Oreochromis niloticus: one gene and its partners. The protein of the gene in region 3 interacts with the protein of the main gene of each other region in a pairwise test. Links are inferred from orthologs where the notes say so. Each region holds a gene or a part of one and is shown on either strand. Other genes may lie near its edges. The genes, in order: ppp2r3b, ccnh and dusp12.

Region 1 (8,146 bases), on a different chromosome or scaffold from region 3:
AGTTGAAACAAACATTAGATCTCATTCTCCTGCTCTGTTGTTTTACATGTGTACTTGAAGATCTCCTCATGCACCTCTTTAGCATGTCACTAACATGTAGAAGGTGGGGTCCTGAGTAGCGTATGCCTCCAGCTGTCTCAGGCTGTCTCACTGTCATCACATGCACTAATGTCCATAATCTATCACTACTCTAGGCTTTCACGTTGCACTTCTCATCCTAACAGATTATGAGTCCTTGAGCAGATATACAAAATATTTACGGGCAGCTAACTATTTTGTGTAGATTCTTTTTAGGCCATAATCTAAACAATCCAAAGTAAAACACCTTGGCCCCAGCACAGTAAGAAGTACAGCGCACAGACTGAAAGATGTAACCAGAGCGCCAGGGACAGGCTAGGTTCAGACACTCCCACTTCTCATACCACACTAATTCGTGGGTGAGGCCTGAACATTTGGAAAGTATTTGACTAATAATCACTACATACGCCTACAGACAAGAAGGCTCCACTGTGACAGGGCAGAGTGGACAGCCTCTGAATGTCTTTGATGCTGTAGGCCACTCAGCATCCTCTTGTGGCCAGTCAGAGCAAACAGAGATCTCAGAACGTACAAGTGAGGCAAACTTGACATTTAAATCAGTTTAATACAGAATTTAATAAAAGAATTACAAAAAATCTTTGCAAAGACAGATGCTAAGCAAATATAAGCCAAATGCACACTATGTCCATTTAGATGTACCATTAAACTGGACATGTATGCTTTGTATGACAAAGCTCAACTTTTGGCTAAAACTGAATTTTTTCTAGATTGCAAAAATGTAACTAGAAGGAGGATAACATTAATGTTTACGATTTTTTCACATGAGATATTTTGATGCTAAAGTAAATTATCAGTGGCAGAAGCCAATGTTTATCTAGTGTGTTGCATCAGTTTTGCCCTGGTTAAAAGTTGTTTTAGATCTTGTTTAATATAGTGTGATGAAGAGGGAAGTTTCTTTTTTTTCTCCTTGTTTCCTTGTTCCAAAAAGGAAAACTAAACAATAACAACAACAACAAAAAAGGCCCTACAACTCTACCACTTTTGGCTAAATTGTCATTTTTAACACTGACCCAGAATTTCAAGCTCAGACATGTCCTTTTTGCAAGTACATTAAATTTGTCCGTCATTCATTTAACTCACATTAACATAGCAGTTGTTATGGTCATTACTGACTGGAAAACCACCAGTTTATGATTTCAGCTAGTTTCATTAATTAGAGTTTAATGAGGCCGATAAACATTATTTGATCCTAAAATGGTCAGAAATAACAAGAAAACCCATAGTTTTCTATCAAATAAGGTACCACATAGTGATTGCATTTCCTGTTCCACATCATACTCGCTTTGCTGCTGCCCCACCAAAAGGCCCATTCTGTGCCAGGAAAACCCTGGTTTAAATGTGCAAATATGGATTTAATTTCAGGTTACTGTATGGATTGCACAATACCAAAAAGATATGCAGATAAACTGCCAGTTAAACATACAAATAAGTGCACTAAAACTATAAAGATAAACTTACCAGACTGATAAGCTGTTGTGTAAAAAAATGCCAAGCCAGGACTGCTTTTATAGTTGGCTTACCAGAAAGCAAAGAGAGGTTCCCCTTTCGACTTTTAAGTACATGTTTACTATCGGTATGCAAAGAGTTTAAAATATTCAAATCATTGTCCAACACACCCTCAAGTACCTCAGGTGGTTTCAGGAAGAAAAAGAACAGGGTGGCACACCTTATTTTTCATAGTAGTAAATCAAAAGCTCTGTAGTGTAACACCTTTAGGATTAAAAAAACAAAAACTGACTAACAGCTGACTAACAGCAGAACTCCTTGTTTAGTGGATCTTAGTATGTGTGTGGATTTTTTCCCTGCGGCACCTTAAGACTTTTTGGCTACATTTTTCAACAATGAGTTACATGCTTATCAAAAAACATGGAAAATATTTATTGGAGTTATTGTTTGAATACACAGTTTACCTTCTTTGTGCTGAGAGATCTCCGTAGTACTCTTCCACTTGGTCCAGTCATTCTGGTGTTACTGCTACTTCGGGAAGGCAGGGTACTGGTAGATGGGGTGCTGAAAGGTGTACTTAAGGGAGCAGGCTTCTTCTCTGCCAGGTTCTTCTGTGATGCCACATTGTTGTTTTCATTGAAGCTTAACGACCTTTTATCTTGAGCGTCCCCAATACTCAATTCAACAGGCTGTCCACTTTTGATTAGATCAAGATAATCTTTGAGTATTGACTGAGTTGTAGGATCACTCAACCAGTTGAGAAAAAGCTCGTCTACTTTCATTTTAAGAACCGGCTGGAGAACTTGTGGTGACGGCATTTTGGGCAATGATGTCTAAAGCTTCCTCTGATGACCGTACCTGCGTAGAAATAAAAGCATCTTTAACCTCACACCACCAATATCTGCCTCCCACACAAGGTCCATAGATGACACGAAACTGTCAGAGCAGCGGCGCTGAGTAGGTCACTGAGCAAAAAAAAAAAATGACACGAGCAGTAGCCCTTGCTTTGAGTACAAACCAACACTCACTCACGTTATTGAATTTTAGCGCGAAGCGTCAATGCTTTAGCCCATAGGCGAAAGTGCGGAACCCATATTACTTCAATAATATTTTAAGCCAATTTTAATCCACCACATGGCAAAAACGGCTGCATAAAGTAAACATTTCAAAAGCTTCCGTCAATTAAACCTATACTACTATGGACGATAGGGGACTACAACAGGTTTAGCTACTATAGCTTTAGCAGCTAGCGCCAACTAGCCAATAAATGCACCCACCTTGCCGTGAATGGACAGCAAAGCAAAACACGTTAATATGACTCTACATTTCCTTCATAAGCGATGATGCTCAGCGTACGTTCGGCTAACAGTGAAACATAAAAGCAGCACCGAAAATCCGGTGAAATTCATTTCTCTGGGAGAAAACACAGCAGACAGGAACAACTTTTCAGGCTCTCGTTCCCCTGGTAACCACACAGCGTTATCGCGAGATCGTCCACGCTGTGGCAGCGGTTTCTCCCGCGGGATCAGTAAGCGCTTGTGCTGACGCACACCTGTTAAAATTAAAAGTGCGGACGTATTTCTCATTTAATGGTTCTTTTTCCACCGTTAGCTTAATAACATAAGCCTATTGTAACACTGCAGTATTCTCAGTTATAAGTAACTACAAAAGCCTTACTGCCAAGTCTGTCTCAGTAAGTATAAACATTATACAGTTTTAAACGTAGCCCGTCGACTTGGACTTAATAACGTACCTGTTGTCCAATGATTTCATCTCCTAAGTTTAATAAATTCATTTTTATGACTGTTAAGTATTATAGTTGTAAAAAATATATAAACATGTAATATAATATATAGTAAGTTTACGATATATTGTGGATTAGTGTAAATTGTATGAGGTTGCTATTATTGCCGTGTGCATCTTGAGACACTAATTTAATACAGGCGTTCATTCAGTCTTTTTCTCATTTAACCTGTACATCTGCATTCCCTTTGATAATGTATGGTCGGTTTGTATGATGTCCGGCGAGAGCTGTTCATCAGTGCACTACTCATTTCCATGAAACTAGTCCTGTCTATCCAGTTCAGCATCGTACAAACCTGATTCTGACTCTGTGCATGAATAACAATGATGCATATGTGTCCAATTCCACTCTGTCTTCTCAAAGCAGCTGGACTGAGCACCTGCTGTATATGGAGCTGGACATACTTATTGATTAATGTGCGGGGGAGTGGCCCCAGACATCGTGGCTCCCTCATTGCATCCCCAAGCATAGAAAACAAGCAACACAGGAAAAGGTCATTTTAGATTATTGATACCATATATGACACCTGCAATAAAAGAAAACACAGTGGAGTATTATTATGTTTTTTCATCAGAAAGGCATGCTTTATAACAGACCTAAGACCCAGGCTTCAACCACTGATTTAATGGTTTGGTGTTTTTGTACTTGAGTCTTGTCTACATTAGTAAAACTGATTTCATGATCACAGGGTCGGTACTAATGGCACACCAATTTCACGTGGAATTCTTCTCATTTACACAAGCACTGCAGCCAAAACTAACATGTTGGTTATTGTTTGTTTCTGTGAATACAATGTTGCTGGGTAATTATGTTTATTATGCAGCCAACAGAACAAATTTTGTCTGGACTAATCTTTCTCTTTTGGCATTGACTGATTATGCCTGTAAACATTTTTTCTAAACACCAGTTTTTTGGCATTTGCACTGTGTGTAATTATTTGTTTCTAATGACTTTAATTTACTTTACTGGAGCTTTATGACTTCTGACATGACGGATGTATTTTCGAAGGTGATTTTGAATTTTTAAAAAGTTACTTTTTGATGGAGCCCATACCGCAGTGGTATGCTGACGGGCTTTACTGATGTTTCTCTTTCTTTTTGGCATGAAAGACATTGGGGACACCTATCACTCCAAACCTCTATCTCGTTAATAAGAACATTCAAAGTGCCTGTAGCTTTGTTGTTAAGAGGGCATTAACGGCGGTTCCGCAGTTGTGAAAAATATCGACTGAATTCCTCTGATTGCTTCCCTTGATAACGCGAGTAAATCAAATCTGAAACATCCAAAGTTGTCTGAGGCGCGGCACGTAATGAGAAACCTCTTTGTTCTGTAGAGCAGCGAGCCTTACATGTGTTTTAGAGCCCAATCAATATCCGAAATGAGAAGAGAAAAAGTGAAGGTCTTGAAACTTTAGACTTTGCAACTTTTCAAAGTGTAATTATAGTGTACAAATAGGATTTTACCCAAAGCAGTGTGCATGTTGTTTTTTCACGCCTTGAAGGACATTTCAAAGGTTTGGCCGAGTCTGAAACCACAGGGGGACAGCTGGTTAGCGTAGGAAAGTGTTAGTGAGGGGTTTATGTGTGCAGCTCGCCCTTACTGCTGTCAGCTATGCTATATGGGCGCTCTGTGAAGTAGACGATAAGCAATCTGCTCTAATAAGGGGAGTGAATAAAGTTAAAAGTGTTGTGTTGTGGTTATGTGCTGTAGAGAAATATTTGGACCATACCGTACTCACATGCTAGAAAAGGCAATGGGCCATGGTTATTTTAAGGTTTAAGTTTGTTTGACATTGGTAAGTTTAGCTACTCTTTTCTCTTCATTTAAAAGATCCAGATTGCGATGTGAGATTTTTTTGTGGCTGAAGTTTCACATAAATTACTTACATAGAAGGAGAGCAGTCTTTAATAAGTAATGTACGGATAACTTTTGTTGTGTAAAAGTGTAAAAATGGCTTTAAAACATACTGTAGACGGATGGTCTACAGTGCTTTTACTTACACTCAAAGAAAATCTGATAGTTCTCTCAAGCTAGTTGTTCTTGAACATCTTACAGGATCTGATACCAATCCAAACATCTTCACCTTTGACTTTGGCTTTCATTCAGTAGGGACGTTTACAACGCAAAGTCAAGACAGTGACAAATTTGTGAGCAACGTTGCCACCTTTGTCTCAATTGCTTCTAAGTGGTCTTAACCTCTGTTGCACATTTGTTTTAAACCAGCTCATTTGGTACATTTTTGTACAAGGCAGAGATAAGAACAAGGCCCAATCAGACAAACAAATGACTTCTCCATCTGCTTGAAATTTGACAAAATGACCCAAATAGTTTTAACTGATTTCCCAGAAGATATGTGGAATAGCAATTTAATATTTTCTTTTCTGTTTTATGACTTTGAATATATAACAACTAAATAAGTACATGACAACAGCGAGTTGAAAAGATTTTGATTGTGAAATGTAAATAATATGCAGTTACTGTTAAGTTACGGTGATATTATTCCCCAATCATTTTGCAAACACAACAGAAACTAGTAGAAAGTGCTTTCTTAAAAATTGTATTTCATTATGTTGTTAAACTATTTGTTCAGCTGCAATTTATGCGTATGTTGTTTTAAGTATTAAAATAACTCATCGTGGCACTGTTCTCCTCCTCAGCGACACACGAGCAGACTTTGCTTCAACATACATTGTCAAATGTGTGCTGCAGAAAACAGCAAACTGCATAAGAAATGATTTTAAGCTTGGAGTACCAGGAGTAAAAGTAAGCAGTAGATGCGTAAAAAGTAATGCTGATACAGACGCTGCTTCTTTTCAATAACTCCACATTTAGAGCAACATATATGGTTTTATCTTCTCCAGGCATCTCGTTCTTTTATCTGTGCTCCGTATAAAACATGAGTGTACTTGCTTTAGTTAAAAAAATACAATCCTACTGAACCAAGAGCCAGTGTTAGCACTGGGAAAACACATTTCAGCCTCTATGCCTGTCAATGGGACTTTTAACACTGTAGAAGAGTAGATTTACATTTTTTAATGTTAGAGGTCTTATTAAAAGTCCAAATAATTGTATATATAAATTATAAGGTGGACTATAATGAATGAAAATCATTTAGTGTAGGAGTAGTATTGACATGTTTAACCTCCTAGAACCTGGCGTCCACATATGTGGACATCACATTTTGGGCTGTCTAGACCACAATTCTAAATTTTGCTCTACAAGGGCCTGATATCCACTTACGAGGATGTTATGCTGCCACTGTTCTATCGAAATTTAAAATGAATGCCCTCATATGTGGATCAAATTTTTCTCAGAAACAAAAATCAGGTAAAACAACAACAACAACAACAAAAAAAACAGGTAATTGTTTGTTTTTACATTTATCAGGTCCCAATCAGCCCAAATAGCAAAGAGAAACTGAAAATGCATGCCATGAAAGAGTTCGGGTCTTAGGAGGTTAATCATTAATTAAACACAGTGCCTGTTGTTGCAACTGTTTAAATGCAGGAATGACTCAGGAACCCACTTAGCTGGAAATATTTTAAGCACAAAGTTTCTATACTGAAGTGCATTAATATAATCAGAAAGTTGCTCCCATCCTCACTAGCCTTTATTAGATTATTTTTAAGGATTTTTATTCTTTTGCTGTTGTTGTTGCACAGCAAGTGATGAAACTCTGGCTGACAGGGTGATTTAAACTCTCAGATTCCTGTGGCATGTAATACAAAACAAGGTACACGAGTTACCACTACAGTCCTGAAATGTCATTTTTATTTGCCTCTGCCCATTGTGTTTGTTTTATTTCCAGACACTGCTGAAATAATTGTTAGCATAAAGCAGGAATTTTACAAGAATGTTTCTATAGTCTAGTGATATTTTTTGAGCAGAAATGGCTTTGATCTTGGTCTTAAACAATCCTCTGTTTGATATGGCTTTCAAATGAACTGTGGTATGAACCTCACGTTCCGCCTCCCAAAATGGCATCGGGTAGTGATGAGCCTTCTCGTAGCTCTTTCATGGCTACACTGTAAACACGCAACGCTGTTTTTATTCCTTAAGAAAATCACAGACGCAGAATCAAACTGTCTTCAGTCAACATTTAGATTCCTAATATGCTGTGCGAAATGGAGCCGCGGAGGAGGAGACTTCTTTCATTAGACACTTCACTGAGGCTCTGAAGTTCACTCCTTCCATCTGAGATGACTTTAAAAGAGAAACAATGCATCTGCCTATTGGGGTCTTTGGAGATTTTCTCTCTCATCACATATTAATGAAAGAGGTGCATGTATGGAGTTGGAAAGCTTAAGAAGGAAAACCTGGTTTTGAGCATACCAAAGAGAGTCGACAGATATATAGATATATATATTTAATGGAGTCATATATAGTGTGTAAATGCAACTCGGTATACTGTATGTTGTTTCTCAGGTGAGCTTGCAGTGAAATACTTTGCAAAATCTGCACATTTTCTTCAGTCTAGTTCTGCAGATGCTATACAAGGATGTAAAATGTGTAACAGTTGCCTGTAGAGGGTGCACTTCACTTGGGATGTGTCAGGGCTGTACTCCTCTCACTTGCTTTCTAAGCAGACACAGATACATACACAAACAATTCACTCAAGTGTAATGATCTTATATGAGGCACACAGACAGCATGAATCAGAGGTGAGTTCATGCCAGTTATTCTGCTGAATGCACCGTACATCAGTTTCTCACATTGGCCTCCATTTCTCCTTTAATGAGACAGGCCCATCAAGACGGAGCGGGAGCTTTTTGATATCCTCAGAGGGGCATGGTGAGC
Region 2 (7,169 bases), on a different chromosome or scaffold from region 3:
TCACCAGAATGACTGCACCTTAACATCACTCTGTCTGTCCTCCTCTACATTCTCCTCAAAGCCTAAGATGCTCAGAATGATGGAGCACAATGTGTTTTTCATTCCCTGCTGATTTAAACACTGGCAGACATTTAAAAATGAGCACATGTGATTTTGTTTTCTAAATAAAGCCCTTATATCCAAACTCACTGAAGAAACAAAGAAAAGAAAAAACTGAAACATTTTCACAGTGTTTGCATTTGTCTTCAAGGTAAAGCTAAAATGGGTCATTTAATTTGCTCCAATTCTCAAAGGTGTGACTATGGAGGAAGCGGCTGCATAGGAAAGCCAAGGACAGTTGGATTTACCGTAAAGAGCATGCTAGTTGTGCTCTCCCTAGAGCTATGTCTTTGATTGAATACTGAAATGAGTTGAAATGTCACAAATCTCTACCAGTATGCTCGAAATGAAAATTGGCCTTGGGGGGGTTTTAAGCTTCCCATTAAGAGCGTGCTTAACATTCTGTTAAATGTGACTGGAGTGCATCAAAAATACAGCATAATTACGTGTCTCTGTGCACTCAAGCAAAATGTCCCTAAAAATTCCTCAATGCTGAGCAACTGCCTCTGCTAAAATGCAAGGGACCTTAAAATCGGGCCTCAACGGGAATGATGTGAGAGTGAAGCCAAAGGGCAGTAGGGTTCAAATTAAACCTGCCAATAGGAGGCCAAATTGTCATGTAACTGGCAAAAGAAAAAAAAAAAAGGAAAAGAAAAAGTGGGTGAAACCTGTTTTCCTCCAGAATTTCCAGGATTTAAATTTAAATACAAAAATAAATGATGTCAGGTTGAAACTGGAGCACCAAAACGCTTGTGTTTTAAATGTTAAACTGTCAACAGATTCCTTCGTAGCCTACATCACAACACGTCTGGTAACTTTTAAGTCAAATTAGAGTATATGATGCTTTTTACAGTGCCTTGTTTCGTTTAAAAAATTAATTAATTCTGCCTCTATATCAGCATCCCCTTCCCAGTCTGGTAATGCCCGTCTGTCTCTGAAGCAACTGATTTGATACAACCGCACTCCTTCCTATTTACCCCTGATCTCTCAGGTAGTATTTTCAGGAAACAGGAAAATGACTATCGCGCCTGCTTAGTATTCACGTCACGCAAAGTGGGTCTGTGTTCCTCATTTAGTTCTGTACAGTACAGCTGGGGAGCTGTCCAGCACGCAGCGGCAGTATGCAAATGAGGCTGGATTTGAATGGAGATGGAGGTAGACACAAAGCTCAATTAGAGACAGAGAAGAGAAAGAGGCAGTGGGGGAGCGCTGAGTGTCTGAAGGGGAGGAGGGGGGGGGACCTTTGACTGCTTAATGCCAACCTGAGAAAACCAGTGTACGGACACATTCAAACACAAAGGGACACACAGATGTGAATGCGCTTAAATAGCCAGACAGATTTCTAAATTCTTCAGACAGGCAGCCGATCTCTGAGGGGCTCAGACAGCTCAGCTCTGTGATGCCTTTCGCTCACACCAATCACACAGAGAATATCCCACATCATCCATATCACACATTTCAAAACAAAAAGAGAGCGAGAGAGAGGGGGGGGGAAGCACAGGTGCACTCCTCGCTTTTGTTTAAGCTCAAAGAGAGAGTCTCACATGTGGTTAAGAAAAAAAGAAGAAAAAGAAAAGAAAACTGAGGCGGTGGTGGGGGGAGTGGCCGCCATTTTGTTCCTGGATGCCCAGCAGCGTTGCATATCACCTGACCCAATGCCTGCATGACTGTCCTTGGAGGAGTTTCTGACATCAGCACTGCCACTTATGGTTGCCATAGCAACCTGGGTACCAATTTGGATGGGGTGGGGTGGGGGTGTCGTTGGATGCTGCAGGATGGAGAGTAGAAAATTAATATGCACATGCGGCGAGTCGGAATCGGGATTTAATTGTTGGCGTGTGAAGCTGAAATGGATTGAAAGCTGCAGCAAACACGAGGAATATCAGGGCAAGGGCGGGCAAAAAAATGGATTAGGCAGGCTCATTCTGGTAAATCATCTGCATCATTGTCAAGGTTATATCCAGATTATTTCCTCTCGTGCTAGAAAGTAACTTCATAGATGAGATGAGGAAGGTGGGCCACGGGGTGGGGATTATCCTCCTCCAGCTTCTCCTCGCCTCCCTCCTCAGCATTATCACCGCCATGAATAGTTTACAAAGCTGCGTACAGGCGAGGTGATGGTTCACACAGCATCGGCGGCTGAATTTTAGCTGACTTTGTGTCCGTGAATTGCAATTATTTCAGCACGCCTGAAAAGGTTTTCATATGCGGCTGAAATATAACAGGCAGGAGTGTGGGCTCGACTCTGGGAGGATGAGTCTAACTCGATCAGGGAGGCTCAAAGATCATTCAGTTGATCTGGCAATGCCACAAAATCACCCAAGTTTGATTTCCCATAAAACACTGCCTGTCAGATTGCATAGGAGCAACCTTTACTCACAGGGACACACACACACACACACACACCTGACCTAAAACTGTGCCGTCTCTCCCTTCAAATCACCCATCACATGAACATACACACTCACGGGGAGGCAGATTTCACTTGCTGCCTCACCATCAAGCCAGCATTTCTTTTGTAAATAGTGAAGGCACAGGATGAAGTGATGAAGTCTCAAAACAGAAAAAAAAAACCCCTACACATACATATATAAATGACAAATTAAACACAAGAAATGTAAAAACAACAACAACAACAACAACAACAACAAACAAACAAAAACCTTCAAGATAGCCCAACACAACACAGAAAGACAAAAATAAGTCATCACACTGCAGAATTATGCGAAATAGCAGAGGGAGAGGTGTTAGGCTGACAACACAAGCGTGCATGCACAGTCAGCCCCGCGCACGCACACATATGCGCACATACAGTAAACGTTGCAATGGTCTCATCAATAATGCATCGGCACTTCATGTTTATGCAATTTACAGGGCAAGACCGAGCGATGGCTAGTGTAGAAGCCCGGCGTAGCCTTGTGCACAAGCCTATCACAGACAGAGCTCAGACGCGAGCGTTCACACGGAAAGCGCCTGTAGAGAAAAAGGTTAAGATTATATAAAATAGTCCCGAGTGCGCACATACCTGTTAAAGCGTCATTTCTTTGAGCCTGGTTTTATGCAGGCTCGAAGGGCTTCATGATAACGCCGCACTAAGGAAATAAAACTGTAGCTGTGGTGATATGCAAATTAACGGCTCCCGCTGAATGCAAGGGCATTTATTATTCATAAATTACTCATGTTTATGCAAATGAGGGCGTGCGGAAACACGGGTGGGGGGTTGAGTGGCTCTGTCTAAACATACCGTGTGATTTCGTTTCTGTTGCGCATTTCTGCCCCCCACCCCCCACTAAAAGATTATCCAAATCCTTGATTTTAACTAACATATAGTCACAAACCAGCTTTAGCAGTGTGAACTTTATGTAGTCCTGGCTCATTTAAAGAAGAAGGGGGAAAGGGGGGGGGAGGGGGGCTGCTGTTAATGCGGGCCTTTATTCAAGGTTTACATGCTTATTTATTCTGGGTTATTTAGCGTGTGCTAACCCGAGTGTAGAGGACGCATAAGGTCAGACACCTCTTTCAATGCTACAGACTGTCAAAAGTGGCAGCTATATCACACGTGACCACGCAAAGGTGGGATATCACCTGAAGAAGTCTCTTGGGTGAGAGGTGAAACGTCTTCACGGCGCTTCAGTCGTTTTCTTTCCAACCTCCTGTTTTTTGGGGGGCGTTTTCAGTGTTTGCTTATCTGTGTGTGCGTCTGTGTGTTTACTTGTGTCAAAATTGGGGACTTATATCAGCTGACACACCCGTTCATTGGGGACGCTTTTGCCTCTGGGGACCAAAACTACCCCAATTAGATATAAATTGAAGCCATTCAGCGCATTTCAAGCAGCATTTCCGTCTAAAACTACCAAAAACGTCGCTAAATACGACTTATTTCAGATGGTGTGTGTGTGTGTATATGTGTATGTGTGTTTGTGTGCGTCATCAATAACCGACGAGGTCGACGTAATCCAATGGCGACGCGCGTGGGATTTGTTATTGCTGGAGTCCGCTTGATAAGACGTTAGTTTTGAACTGTCTTGAGGCATTAAACGCGCTCATTTGTACATAGAAAAATTATTTTCGCACAGCATCGGTGTCGCGGATGGATTGACCTTTAAATACACTCAACAACTGTAAGTTATTTTATTTTATTTCAGATGTATCAAAGTTTGGACGGCAGGCTAACGTTGACGTTTTTTTCGGTGTGTCCCCGTTATCAGGCAGGTTTGTTGCGGTGTTCCCCACAGCAGGCGACATGTTTCACAACAGCTCCCAGAAGAAATACTGGATTTTTAAAAGTGAAGATGAAATCGAGCATATGAGGTGCAAGGCCAATCAGAAATTCCGCAACAAGGCGCTAGAAAGTAGGAAGGTAAGCTGCGATTAAACATGTCATTAAGCACATTTGAACCAAAGATGTAGTCCATGAACGTCTGTGTGACAGTTACCTTCACTCCCTCCTCTTTGAACAAGCCCGGGGGGAGTGAGTCCATGTTCTTGCAGCGTCATGAGGAAGACGTCCTATTTCGGCACTATGAGAGGAGGCTGCTGGAATTCTGCAATGCTTTTAAGCCCACAATGCCAAAGTCTGTGGTGGTATGTATGTATGTGGTTTCTTTGAACAGAGCCATGTGACCTCGCGGACATCCGTGAACCACGTGTCTTTCTCTCGTTTTGCAGGGTACAGCCGTCATGTACTTCAGGAGATTCTACCTGAGCAACTCCGTCATGGAGTACCACCCCAGGATTATCATGTAAGTGCTGCTGGTCGGTGAAAGGAAAACCAACAGTATTGTTGGGGGTGGGCAAAAAACGCGGGGTCCACTGAGGGATACAGACAAGTGACACATTAAAGGAAATGTATGTTAAGGAAAGTTTCTGATAGGTTTGGCAGTTTCCCTCTAAGAATTTGTTGACATATGTGAGTCCTTATATTGAGGTTTAGTTTTTTTTTCTTTCTCTAATAAATTCAAACAGTGAGGTGAAAAAAAGTAGTTGACAGTAGTAAAAGAGACTCAACAGTGCTGAGCAGGCCAATTACAACAGTTGCATGCTGAGTCAATACGATGTGTAGCTTTGCAGATGTGGACATCAGGTTACTGCATAGGTTACGTTGTAGGGTTTTAGAGGGGTTTGTGGCTACGAGGTGACATCCTTACAGTGAAGATTGTACACAGAAGCATACATCTCTTGGTGTGTTTTAGAAATTCACAGTTTGTTAAACTCACAGGCAAACTTTGAACTGTTTTATTAAAATGATCAAAGTGATGTGACGGTTGTAGTGTAACTCAGTTTGCGTTGTGGTGGTCTCTTAATGTGACTTTAGATGCGTTGAAAGCCTCAATTCAAGAGTCAAAGTTGATCTTCAGCGGAGAGAGATGATGTGGGCAGATGTCAGAATGAGAAACGCCTAAGAGTATGTGGCGGCAAAGCATCTCAGGTGTTCAGTCTGTGCTCAGTGTTAACGGGGTGACCCACGTGATCATCACCCACTGTCACATTATTAAGTCACAGAGACTAAGTGCAGACAGATTCTCTGAACACTGTGGTTCTTTTTCTTTGACATCACAATTTTACCCGAACTCATAATGAATTCAATTGTTGTTGTTTTTTTGGGTGTTTTTTTTTCTTCGATCTTAACCGAAGTTGTTCTCAGTGATCTCCTACTTCCTGCTATGACACTTTCCTCCTAATGGGAATGTTTCCTTCCAAGATAAAAGTGCAGCATCCATAGGGCATAGGGGGAGGGTCACTGTATGATTTGCTGTGTATAAAAATGCTTTATTTAACTAACAGTAAAACCGCTTAACCTTCATGCCGTGTTGAATAATGAGTTAATTGTAGCATTCAGGGTTTTTTTCAGCGTTGTTCTAAGCAACCTGTTGTTTCAGGCTGACGTGTACATACCTGGCCTGCAAAGTAGATGAATTCAATGTGTCCAGCACCCAGTTTGTGGGCAATCTTGTACAGGAGACCCCAGCAGGACAAGAAAGGATTCTGGAGCAGATCCTGGAGTATGAGCTGCTGCTAATCCAGCAGCTCAACTTTCATTTGGTGGTCCACAACCCCTACAGACCCATGGAGGGTCTGCTCATCGACCTCAAGGTGGGTGTGGTCCTATGACTGCTTCACACTATAAACACGAAGACGGAAACTACTGCTGCCCTAATCTCGCTTACTTAAGTTTTCATTCGAACTTGTCGCTTTTTCCAGACCCGGTACCCTACACTGGAAAGCCCAGAGTCACTGAGGAAGACTGCTGATGACTTTCTGACACAGGCAGCCATGACAGATGCAGGACTACTTTTTTCTCCCTCCCAGATCGCTCTGACAGCTATTCTGAACAGCGCCTCGAGAGCCGGTCTTAACATGGAGAGGTAGTACACAAAGTTCTTAAATCAGTAACCAGGTGACAGTGGTCAGTTTGAATTTCAGACACGGATTTGAAATATTATGTCTGTTAATTATAAATCTAATCTTCCTCGCTGTTTAAAAAAAGAAAAGAAAAAAAAGTTAGCTAATGTTTAGAATTTAAAATTTCATCATAAAGTCCAGAGTGACGACTGGCTGGCTTATTTAATTTATATGTACAGTAAATACATTACAAAAGCAAAGATTGAATCAGGGAAAAAAAACGTAAAAAATGTAATTTCTCTGAAGAAGTTTGTCTCTGTGTATGTTAATCAAAACCAATCCCTTCTATGTATTATTTCTCATGCCCAGTTACCTGAACGAGTGCTTAGGACTGAAAGAGGACAAGGAGACGCTGTCAAGGATGTACGACTCCATGAGACGTGAGTAAACCGCACCTTCAAGTTGACACCACAAGATGGTGATATTGAGCTGTTTTAGCTTCTCCAGAGCAAGTTTTTTTTTTTCTTGCGGTTTTGTCCGATTGACTGCAAGATACAGAAACTATTACTATTATAAGGAAGAGCTGAATACATTTTAAATGCCAATCCAACTCACGTGCCTTAAAGCTACAAAACAGGGCATTGGCCTTGGTGAAGGCACTTTCAAACTTGTTGCTTTCTGTTTATTCAGGAATGAAAACCCTCCTGAAGAAATATGAGCCTCCTAAA
Region 3 (7,834 bases):
TCTCTGTAACATAAAAAAAAGAACATGTGGGTGAAAAAAAGTCAATGAAATGTTAAAAAAAAATACCCAGATACTAATTAAAAATGACATTGTCAATAATTTACTGAGTGAATGTTCACAGTATGTGTTCTTACCAGTAAGGTTACTGGCCTTTTTGTGACTAAAGGCCGAAGCTCCTTCTCCTACTAAATGACTGAGAATACTGGAGCCACGAAATAGAGTTCGACTGCAAGGAGAAAGTGGAGGTTACTGCCTGCAGAAGCTGTAGCTCAAACTGGCACACACACCAGGCTGAATACCCCCTTTTCTCCATTCAGAAGCAGAGTCACTCAGTTCCTTGGATTCCTTAGATTACATTAGGAAATTACATATCCTATCCAAGATGTACAAACTTCAAGACAAACTTTAACAATACCAGGATACATTGGTGTGAAAAGTGATTGCCCCCTAACCCTAATAACTGGTTGGGCCACCCTTAGCAACAACTGCAATCAAGCGTTTGCGACAACTGGCAATGAGTCTCTTACAGCGACGTGGAAGAATTTTGGCCCACTCATCTATGTGGAATTGTTGCAATTCAGCCACACTCAAGGGTTTTGTCTCGTCAGTCCACAGAGTATTTTCCCAAAAGTCTTGGGCATCTTCAAGATGTTTTCTGGCAAAACTGAAATGAGCATTTATGTTCCTTTTGCTCAGCAGTGGTTTTTGACTCTGCCACGCAGGCCATTTTTGCCCAGTCTCTTACTTATGGTGGAGTCATGAACACTGACCTTAACTGAGGTACATGTGGCCTGCAGTTCTGTGAATGTTCCTCTGGGGTCTTTTGTGATCTCTTGAATAGGCCATTGCTGTGCTCTTGGGGTAATTTTGGTCGGCCAGCTACTCCTGGGAAGTTTAACCCCTATTCCGTGTTTTCGCCTTTTACAGAGTTGTGTAGGAATTTTCCAGACTGAGAGTCACTTTTTCACACAGGGCCCCGTACGTTTGGATTAGTTTTCCCCTTAAAAATAAACACCTTCATTTAGAAAATGCATTTTGCGCTTACTTTAAACATTTAAGTGTGACAAACAAAACCAAAAAAAAAAGGAAATCAGGAAGGTGGCAAACACTTTTTCACACCACTCTAAGTAGTTTGCTATGATCGGCTGTGAGTCATAAATTAAACTGTGGACTGTTGAGCTAAGAAGTAAAATCATCAACTTAACAAAGTGTTTTGTTTTTTTTGTGTGCCATCAGCTTCTTCCTATTAAAGACAAGTAATTTGAAGCATTCAGGTTCCATCTCTCACCTGCACTTCCTGCATCGATAGGATGCTTCAGAGGAGCTGGAGTGGGCAGGGTCAACAGCAAACACCTCCCTAGGCACCCTCTGTAACTCTGCTCAAACACATGCACACATACAGAAAGGAAACATATAATTTAAGAACAAGAAAGCACAACACAAATAACAAGAAGAGCTCAAATGTTTAACTATAATCTCAGAACGTGTGTGTGTGGTTACCAGGGTATTTTTCAGTGATCTTGGTTAGTCTGTATTGTTTGTACAGAGGACTGGAGGTATCCACCTCACACTGCATTGCTTCGTACAGACACAACTGCTCCTCAAAACCACTGTTGACCCTAAAAGACATACATTTCAGCAAGTGTGCTTTGGAGAATTAAAAAAATATATATATAAATTTTATGTGTGGAGTAAGAAATATAATCTCTGCAGAAGATAAACATTAAATACAAATAATAGTACTTTAAAGTGAAACACACACTTACTGTACATCTGGTTTGAGGCTCTTTAGTCTGTGATAAGCCTCAGTGAATCCCAGTTTGTATCTCTTCATTAGATAAGCAGTAACAATGGTGGCACTGCGACTCCGACCAGCCTGACTAAAACACACACAAAACCATGTTTGCAGTTTGCCACTTAACACGATTATTTCACATTTCATGTTTTCACAAGCTTGAGTATAATAAAAGGAGCATTTTTTAATCACAATATTGAAATTTGATATATAAAATTGCCTTACCAGTGAACCAGTGCAGCCCGGCCACCATCCACAGCCTCTTTAATGAACCCGAAACTGGTGTCCATGTAACTGAGGAGGTCAGAAGTCTCTTCATCTAAGACATCAATCCACTTCCTAACAAAGGCTCTATCATCAGGAAACAGTGGGCTGGGGTCTACAGAATCTACAGACAGGATGTGACTGATGTTCGCACTGACCAGTTCCTGGTGGTCGTTGAGGTTAGCTGCAGTGCCGATGTACAGCCCAGGGTCCACCAGAATCATGACTGCAGAGACATATAACCATGTCTATAACCATTTTTGTAGACCACATTTACAGCTTTAAACATTCTGATCACTGCCCAATTTCTCAAATCAAACCTTTATATTTTTTCCCCCTTTGGATCATTTTGGCATTTCATTTGTTAGATACCAATTTAAAATTAGAAGATTAAAATGTGAACATAAAAATATCAATAAGCATCAAAAACAAAAAATACTTTTTATACATACATACATACATACATACATACATACAAGTATAGGAATAGAATACAATTATGTTTTAATCTTAGAAGCAAATTTGGACCGCTGTCTGAATTTTAATTTCAAAGGTCACCCGGACATAAAAAGGGTCGAATCATCAAACAGTTTGCTGTCTTTGGCTTAAAATACGGTTTTTATTAAAAGCTTTTCCTCTTGGAAGTCACTGCTGCCACCATCGTTGCTGTTATTCATCAACTGATTACCATTCAGTGCCATGTTTCTCTATATATTGTCTCTGACACAGCAAAAGATTAAAAATAGGATGCTTTAGTTCAAAGAAACCGTCATTAGTATTATTTTCAAGTAACTACTTTTGTTTTCTGTGTCGCAAGTAGTGATCGTGTTCGGTTCAGTTCAGTTGCCAAAATATCAATCTGAACTTTCACTTTAACATCTACTCATTCTGACAACCCACACACCCTCACATCGTTCACTCACTCGCGATCTCTCGCAGTCGTTTTCGCCTTTTTGCTGATTCTCACCTGCTTCGCCTTTTAGTGTGTAACGCAGCTACTGATTTAAGAGAAAGTGAGTGCAGTGAAATACGTTACAGACTCAAATAAAATCCCAAAAAGTTAACGTGTAGTCTCTGTATCAGCATTTGGTTCCTGTTTTAAAATGCTCGGTCGGAAACGTAGATGTCAACACAAACACGCGTCGTTAGTTCCGACCTCGATACTTTCAAAATAATTTCAATAACTATAATAAGAATGGCAGAAAATTAAATAGTCAAAACGTATTTACATATACGCTCTATGTACAGCCAGTATCTCTGACGTTAAACAAAGCAAGAGGAACACAATTGCGAATACCAAATTTGGGTCATTTTACTGATAAAGGTTTTTTTTTTACTTGTTTTTCCCACCCACCCCTATCGATCATACCCCAGAAAAGTATTAATTGAAGATAAACTAGACAACGCTCGGAGAGCAATACAAAAATTCCAATAAATAATCTGGAGACCCTCTTGGCTCTTGGTTAGGGTGAATTTTTAATTTCTCTTAGCTATTTGTAATTAGCTGAACGTGAAAAGTATGTTAACTACATTTAATTTTCAGTTCAGTTCATTTTTATTTCAAACATATACATTCACCAACATTTCATAATATCATTCCATGCAGTTGTTTGAAAAGGAGTAGGCAGAAGTATATACTTATTTAGCCTTACCCCCTTATGTTTACATCTTAATCATTTCCTCATCATCTAAATTGAAAGAGGAAGTCTTACTTTGTTTGATAGTTCTTACATCATTTTAATAACTTTTCAAATGGGAACAATGCATTTAATTTACAACAAAGATAAAGTCAACATCACTTTACACTTCATTCTGTGTTTTACATCACTTTGTAAAGTGCAGAAAAGCCAAATTGTTATGTGAGGACACAGGGTCTGGGCAGATTAAGTAAAAAAGGGGAAAAGCACTTTGAAGTATTTACATATGGGATTTGATCTAGGCAAATATTTTCTGTCACTTAGGAACTCTCTCCCCCCCTCCCCCATATTTTGAACCATATTTTGTGTCCTGTCTGCTCTGTATTCCAGTTACTTGAATGACTTGCAGATGTCAGAACAGCTGCTGAGTTCAATAACAGACAGAAAAGCAACATTTCAAACTGTGATTTTTCATTTCTGCTCAAACCTTTTTCCACTTCATGTCAGACCGATTAATTTCTGTTTCACGGTCCTCATTGTCTTCCACAGAAGGCACTTTCTGTGCTAAAAGCAGGGAAATTAAAAATACATTACAAGCCTATGTTGTGCATAATATGTGACAACATTCAAATAAAATGATAGGAAAACACGTGAAATCACAACCACTCAACCTGGGCTGTCCCCTTGATGTACTCATTTCTGATCCTGTCCATCTTGCTCACTCCCGGTGAAAACCTTCAGCTACCAGCTCCAGTTTTGGTTCCAGACGATTTGTCAGAATCACAAGATGCTGGCAGATGTGTAAAAATAACTGCTTGGTGGTGGCTATGGCAGAACCTCCACAGAGGCCAGCAGGTGGATGAGGGAAAGGGGAGGAAGGAGGGGGAGAGACCCGTGGCGGCCGCCGGGCCGGCCGCGTTTCGTTTTGAGCTGAAAAGGAAGCGATTTGTCCCGTACTTCAGCTAGAATGAAAAAAGACACAAAGTTGGAGTTATTCTGTGTCTTTACGCTGCGCTGCTGCCTCTTCTTCTCTTATTCTCTCCCCCTCCCTCTCCTGCCGCTACTTGATGTCGGTTTGGATATCCTGGTGAGAGGGAAACATGAAGATGAAACCAGGAGATGTCCTTACTGAATCATCAGAGCTGAACAGGTGATGGAGAAACAGGTTTACCTTTTAGGTGACATGAATGAGTTGAAGGGAAGTTATGAAGTGTTTCTGAGAGACAAACACCAGGATCCTTTTCTACGTAGCTGACAGCTGGTAACTGTGCAGGGGCGGGTCTAGCAAAGTTTTGCCAGGGGGCCAGGTAGGGCATTAACAGGGAAAGGGGGGCACGAAGAAATACTTTTCTTTCTTATTCCATTTAAAATGTCTAGCTTTTAATAAATAATTATCTGGATCTTACAAGTAAAGTTTTTATCTGATGTAAAATGTATAGAAATCATACATATATACCAACAAGACAGTGTACATCACTGGCACTGTCACTGACAGCGTTTGTTTTCATTCAAAGGCTTTGTGGCTTTTCCTATAATACCTGGTGGGCTGGTCTCTAGTCAAAATGCCCGGGCCGATTTTTTGTCCCAGTCAAGCCCTGCTCACTACCATGTTGTAAATCTTCCCTTTTAATGTTGCTGCTGTCACAAGTCACCCTTGACACTTGTCTCCACCCACTCCACTGCCCTGCACTCTCTTCTTGACTGTCTATTGTATTGAATGGGTTACTCCCCAGGTATGTAAACTCATTTGTCTCCTATATGTCTGCTCCTTGCAGCTTTACTGTTACACCTGTCTCCTGCTTATTCACATATATCTACAGTGATCCCTCGCTATAACGCGGTGCACCTTTCGCAGTTTCGCAGATTATTTTTTGTGCAATTTTGCATCCGTGTTTTTCATTTATTTATTTTTTTTAACAGCGCATTGTGTTCTGCGTTCTGATTGGCTGTAGACCATTGTCAATCAATCCCGTGCCGTGTCTCCTGTACAGTACAGAATGCGTTCAGCTTGTCAAATTTATCAAAATCTTCTATCGCTAGCAGTGTGACTCTGAAGTGCTGTACTGTTTGTTTGTAAGTTTTCTCCAGCAAACACAAAAATGTCGATGAAACGTTTTGCACCATCAAAGGCACCTGTGGGTGCCTTTGGTTTTATTCTATAATAGCCTACTGGACTTATTTTTCTACGAAGGTTTGAACTTTTAGAGTGTTTAAACAAGATAGAAAAGTGTGAAAGTGTTCATGCCTGTTGGAGAAAAGTGTACAAAGTGTGTAGTGAGGGGTTTTACAGGCATAAAACATCTATAATAATTGTAAAAATTAAAGTTAGCGACTTCGCGGATTTCACCTATCGCGGGTTATTTTTGGAACGTAACTACAGTGATAAACGAGGGACCACTGTATTGTGTCTTGCTTCTACAGACTTTCATTCCTCTTCTCTCCATATCTCTCTTCTCTAATCTCACTATAGATCACAATGTTGTCTGCAAACATCGGGGACTACTCCTAGACCTTATCTGTCAATCTCTCGGTTTGCAATCAAGAAGGGTCATGCAGGGGCATGCAGCCTCCATCTCCCTCCATCATCACTGTTACAAACGCTTTTTTAGTCTGAAAAGTAAACTTTTTGGCTTAAAATGACAACAGCAGACCATTATGAATGATTCTATAGTCCAGTTCTATCTCAAACATCCTATTCATCATCCTAGTCCACATTTTTGGGGCATTTGAGTATTGATTATTACCGAGTTGTGACATATCATAATTTTACAATATTCATAAAAATTATAACTGTCATAAGCATTTATAACTTCCTAAGTCATAAATCCTTTGACAGGGGGCCATAAATCAGTGGTTTGAAAGACAGGGCATATAATCCCTTCTTCAGGGAATTAAATAAGCTTGATTTCCCTAAGGGGAAATAATAAGGCATATGACAGCAACTGAGAACAAAACAAACAAGTTTTATCAAAAGGAAAACTGGATAACAAAATAAAACAGGAAATGACTAATCAGTAATAAGAACAGCACATGGACAGACAGAGTCACAGACATGGAACCACCGGAGACTTTAGGAAAGCGCAAAAGCTGAGAAATAAGGAATCACAAAAACTAGAAAAAATAAATAGAAATTTTATAGACCAAAACACTAACTAAACCTCAAAACCATAACACCCACTCCCCTTTGTGACTAGTCATTAAAGGCTCTCCTTTTCCGAGAATGATGTGTTACTGGGAAAAGCATTAAGTATTAAGAAGTCTTTTGATTTAGACAAACCAAAAGTCATTAACTTGTTTTTTTAGAAAGTGCTTAACAGATCAATAACTGTGGAATGTAAAAACTCAAATTTATCTGAAAACATAAGATACTGTCATACAAGCTTTTCACATTGTGTTCCTAATAAAGCTGAAGTTAAAAGTTGGAATGAGCTAATCACACTAAGTAAACAAAGGAACACATTCCTTTCCCACTACTAAATAAACTTAAGCATGTAATTGGCTCTGACTATAAAAATGAAATAACAAGTAGGAACAAGTGAAGACAGTGAGAGGATGATACCAGGAGGGTGAGGTAATGTGAGCAGACACTGGTCAGCAGCCCACGGTCCCACCAGAGTCATTACCACTGACAGTAAAACTGAACAAAGTGAATGTGAATGGACAGGCACGATGTTGTGTCCCATGGCAGCTACAGACAGCAACAGGCACATTTCTCAAGTGAACTGTCTGACTTGTATATTGTATAAGTGACAATTACATGTGCTGGATGAATGAATCGGTTATTTCTACTGCCAGATGCTCTTTAAATACATGTTTCATGATGTCTGTCTGGACTCTTGTTTCTTTACACCTAACAAGTGTGTGTGTGTTGCTCTGAACTGCCCGCCAACATGCATCCCACAGTCTGTACATGGTCACAATGTGGGGTGCTAATAACGTTTTACGAGCTGCTTTAATCTGGCCATCTCGCCAATCACAATACCCTGAAGTAACCACAACCATCCTTGAGGGCTTATTAGAGGGCTCCCCATCACACATAATTGACTGTTCAAAATGAACCATATGAAGACGGCAGAACACATACACACATATATTCAGTGAAAAGGCCAGCAGGTGACTGTGAGCAGTGTGGGCGTGT

What was found.
Region 1: the proteins of dusp12 (region 3) and ppp2r3b interact in binary tests that used the Homo sapiens proteins (3 or more experiments, as listed by UniProt). The two-hybrid records come from large-scale screens. The link is inferred for Oreochromis niloticus from reciprocal best matches to the Homo sapiens genes DUSP12 and PPP2R3B.
Region 2: the proteins of dusp12 (region 3) and ccnh interact in binary tests that used the Homo sapiens proteins (3 or more experiments, as listed by UniProt). The two-hybrid records come from large-scale screens. The link is inferred for Oreochromis niloticus from reciprocal best matches to the Homo sapiens genes DUSP12 and CCNH.

The regions. Positions count from the first base shown.
Region 1 is NC_031987.2:23,788,010-23,796,155, reverse strand, and holds the start of ppp2r3b (serine/threonine-protein phosphatase 2A regulatory subunit B'' subunit beta), read right to left. Parts: upstream 3,011-8,146; 5' UTR 2,823-3,010; intron 2,404-2,822; 5' UTR 2,364-2,403; coding exon 2,010-2,363; intron 1-2,009. UniProt on the Homo sapiens protein: The B regulatory subunit might modulate substrate selectivity and catalytic activity, and might also direct the localization of the catalytic enzyme to a particular subcellular compartment.
Region 2 is NC_031977.2:16,108,151-16,115,319, forward strand, and holds the start of ccnh (cyclin-H), read left to right. Parts: upstream 1-4,052; 5' UTR 4,053-4,220; intron 4,221-4,307; 5' UTR 4,308-4,342; coding exon 4,343-4,459; intron 4,460-4,560; coding exon 4,561-4,683; intron 4,684-4,767; coding exon 4,768-4,841; intron 4,842-5,978; coding exon 5,979-6,192; intron 6,193-6,300; coding exon 6,301-6,464; intron 6,465-6,810; coding exon 6,811-6,881; intron 6,882-7,131; coding exon 7,132-7,169. UniProt on the Homo sapiens protein: Regulates CDK7, the catalytic subunit of the CDK-activating kinase (CAK) enzymatic complex. CAK activates the cyclin-associated kinases CDK1, CDK2, CDK4 and CDK6 by threonine phosphorylation.
Region 3 is NC_031982.2:2,057,373-2,065,206, forward strand, and holds the start of dusp12 (dual specificity protein phosphatase 12), read right to left. Parts: upstream 3,185-7,834; 5' UTR 2,983-3,184; intron 2,286-2,982; 5' UTR 2,284-2,285; coding exon 2,021-2,283; intron 1,881-2,020; coding exon 1,767-1,880; intron 1,620-1,766; coding exon 1,501-1,619; intron 1,377-1,500; coding exon 1,289-1,376; intron 227-1,288; coding exon 135-226; intron 1-134. UniProt on the Homo sapiens protein: Dual specificity phosphatase; can dephosphorylate both phosphotyrosine and phosphoserine or phosphothreonine residues. Can dephosphorylate glucokinase (in vitro).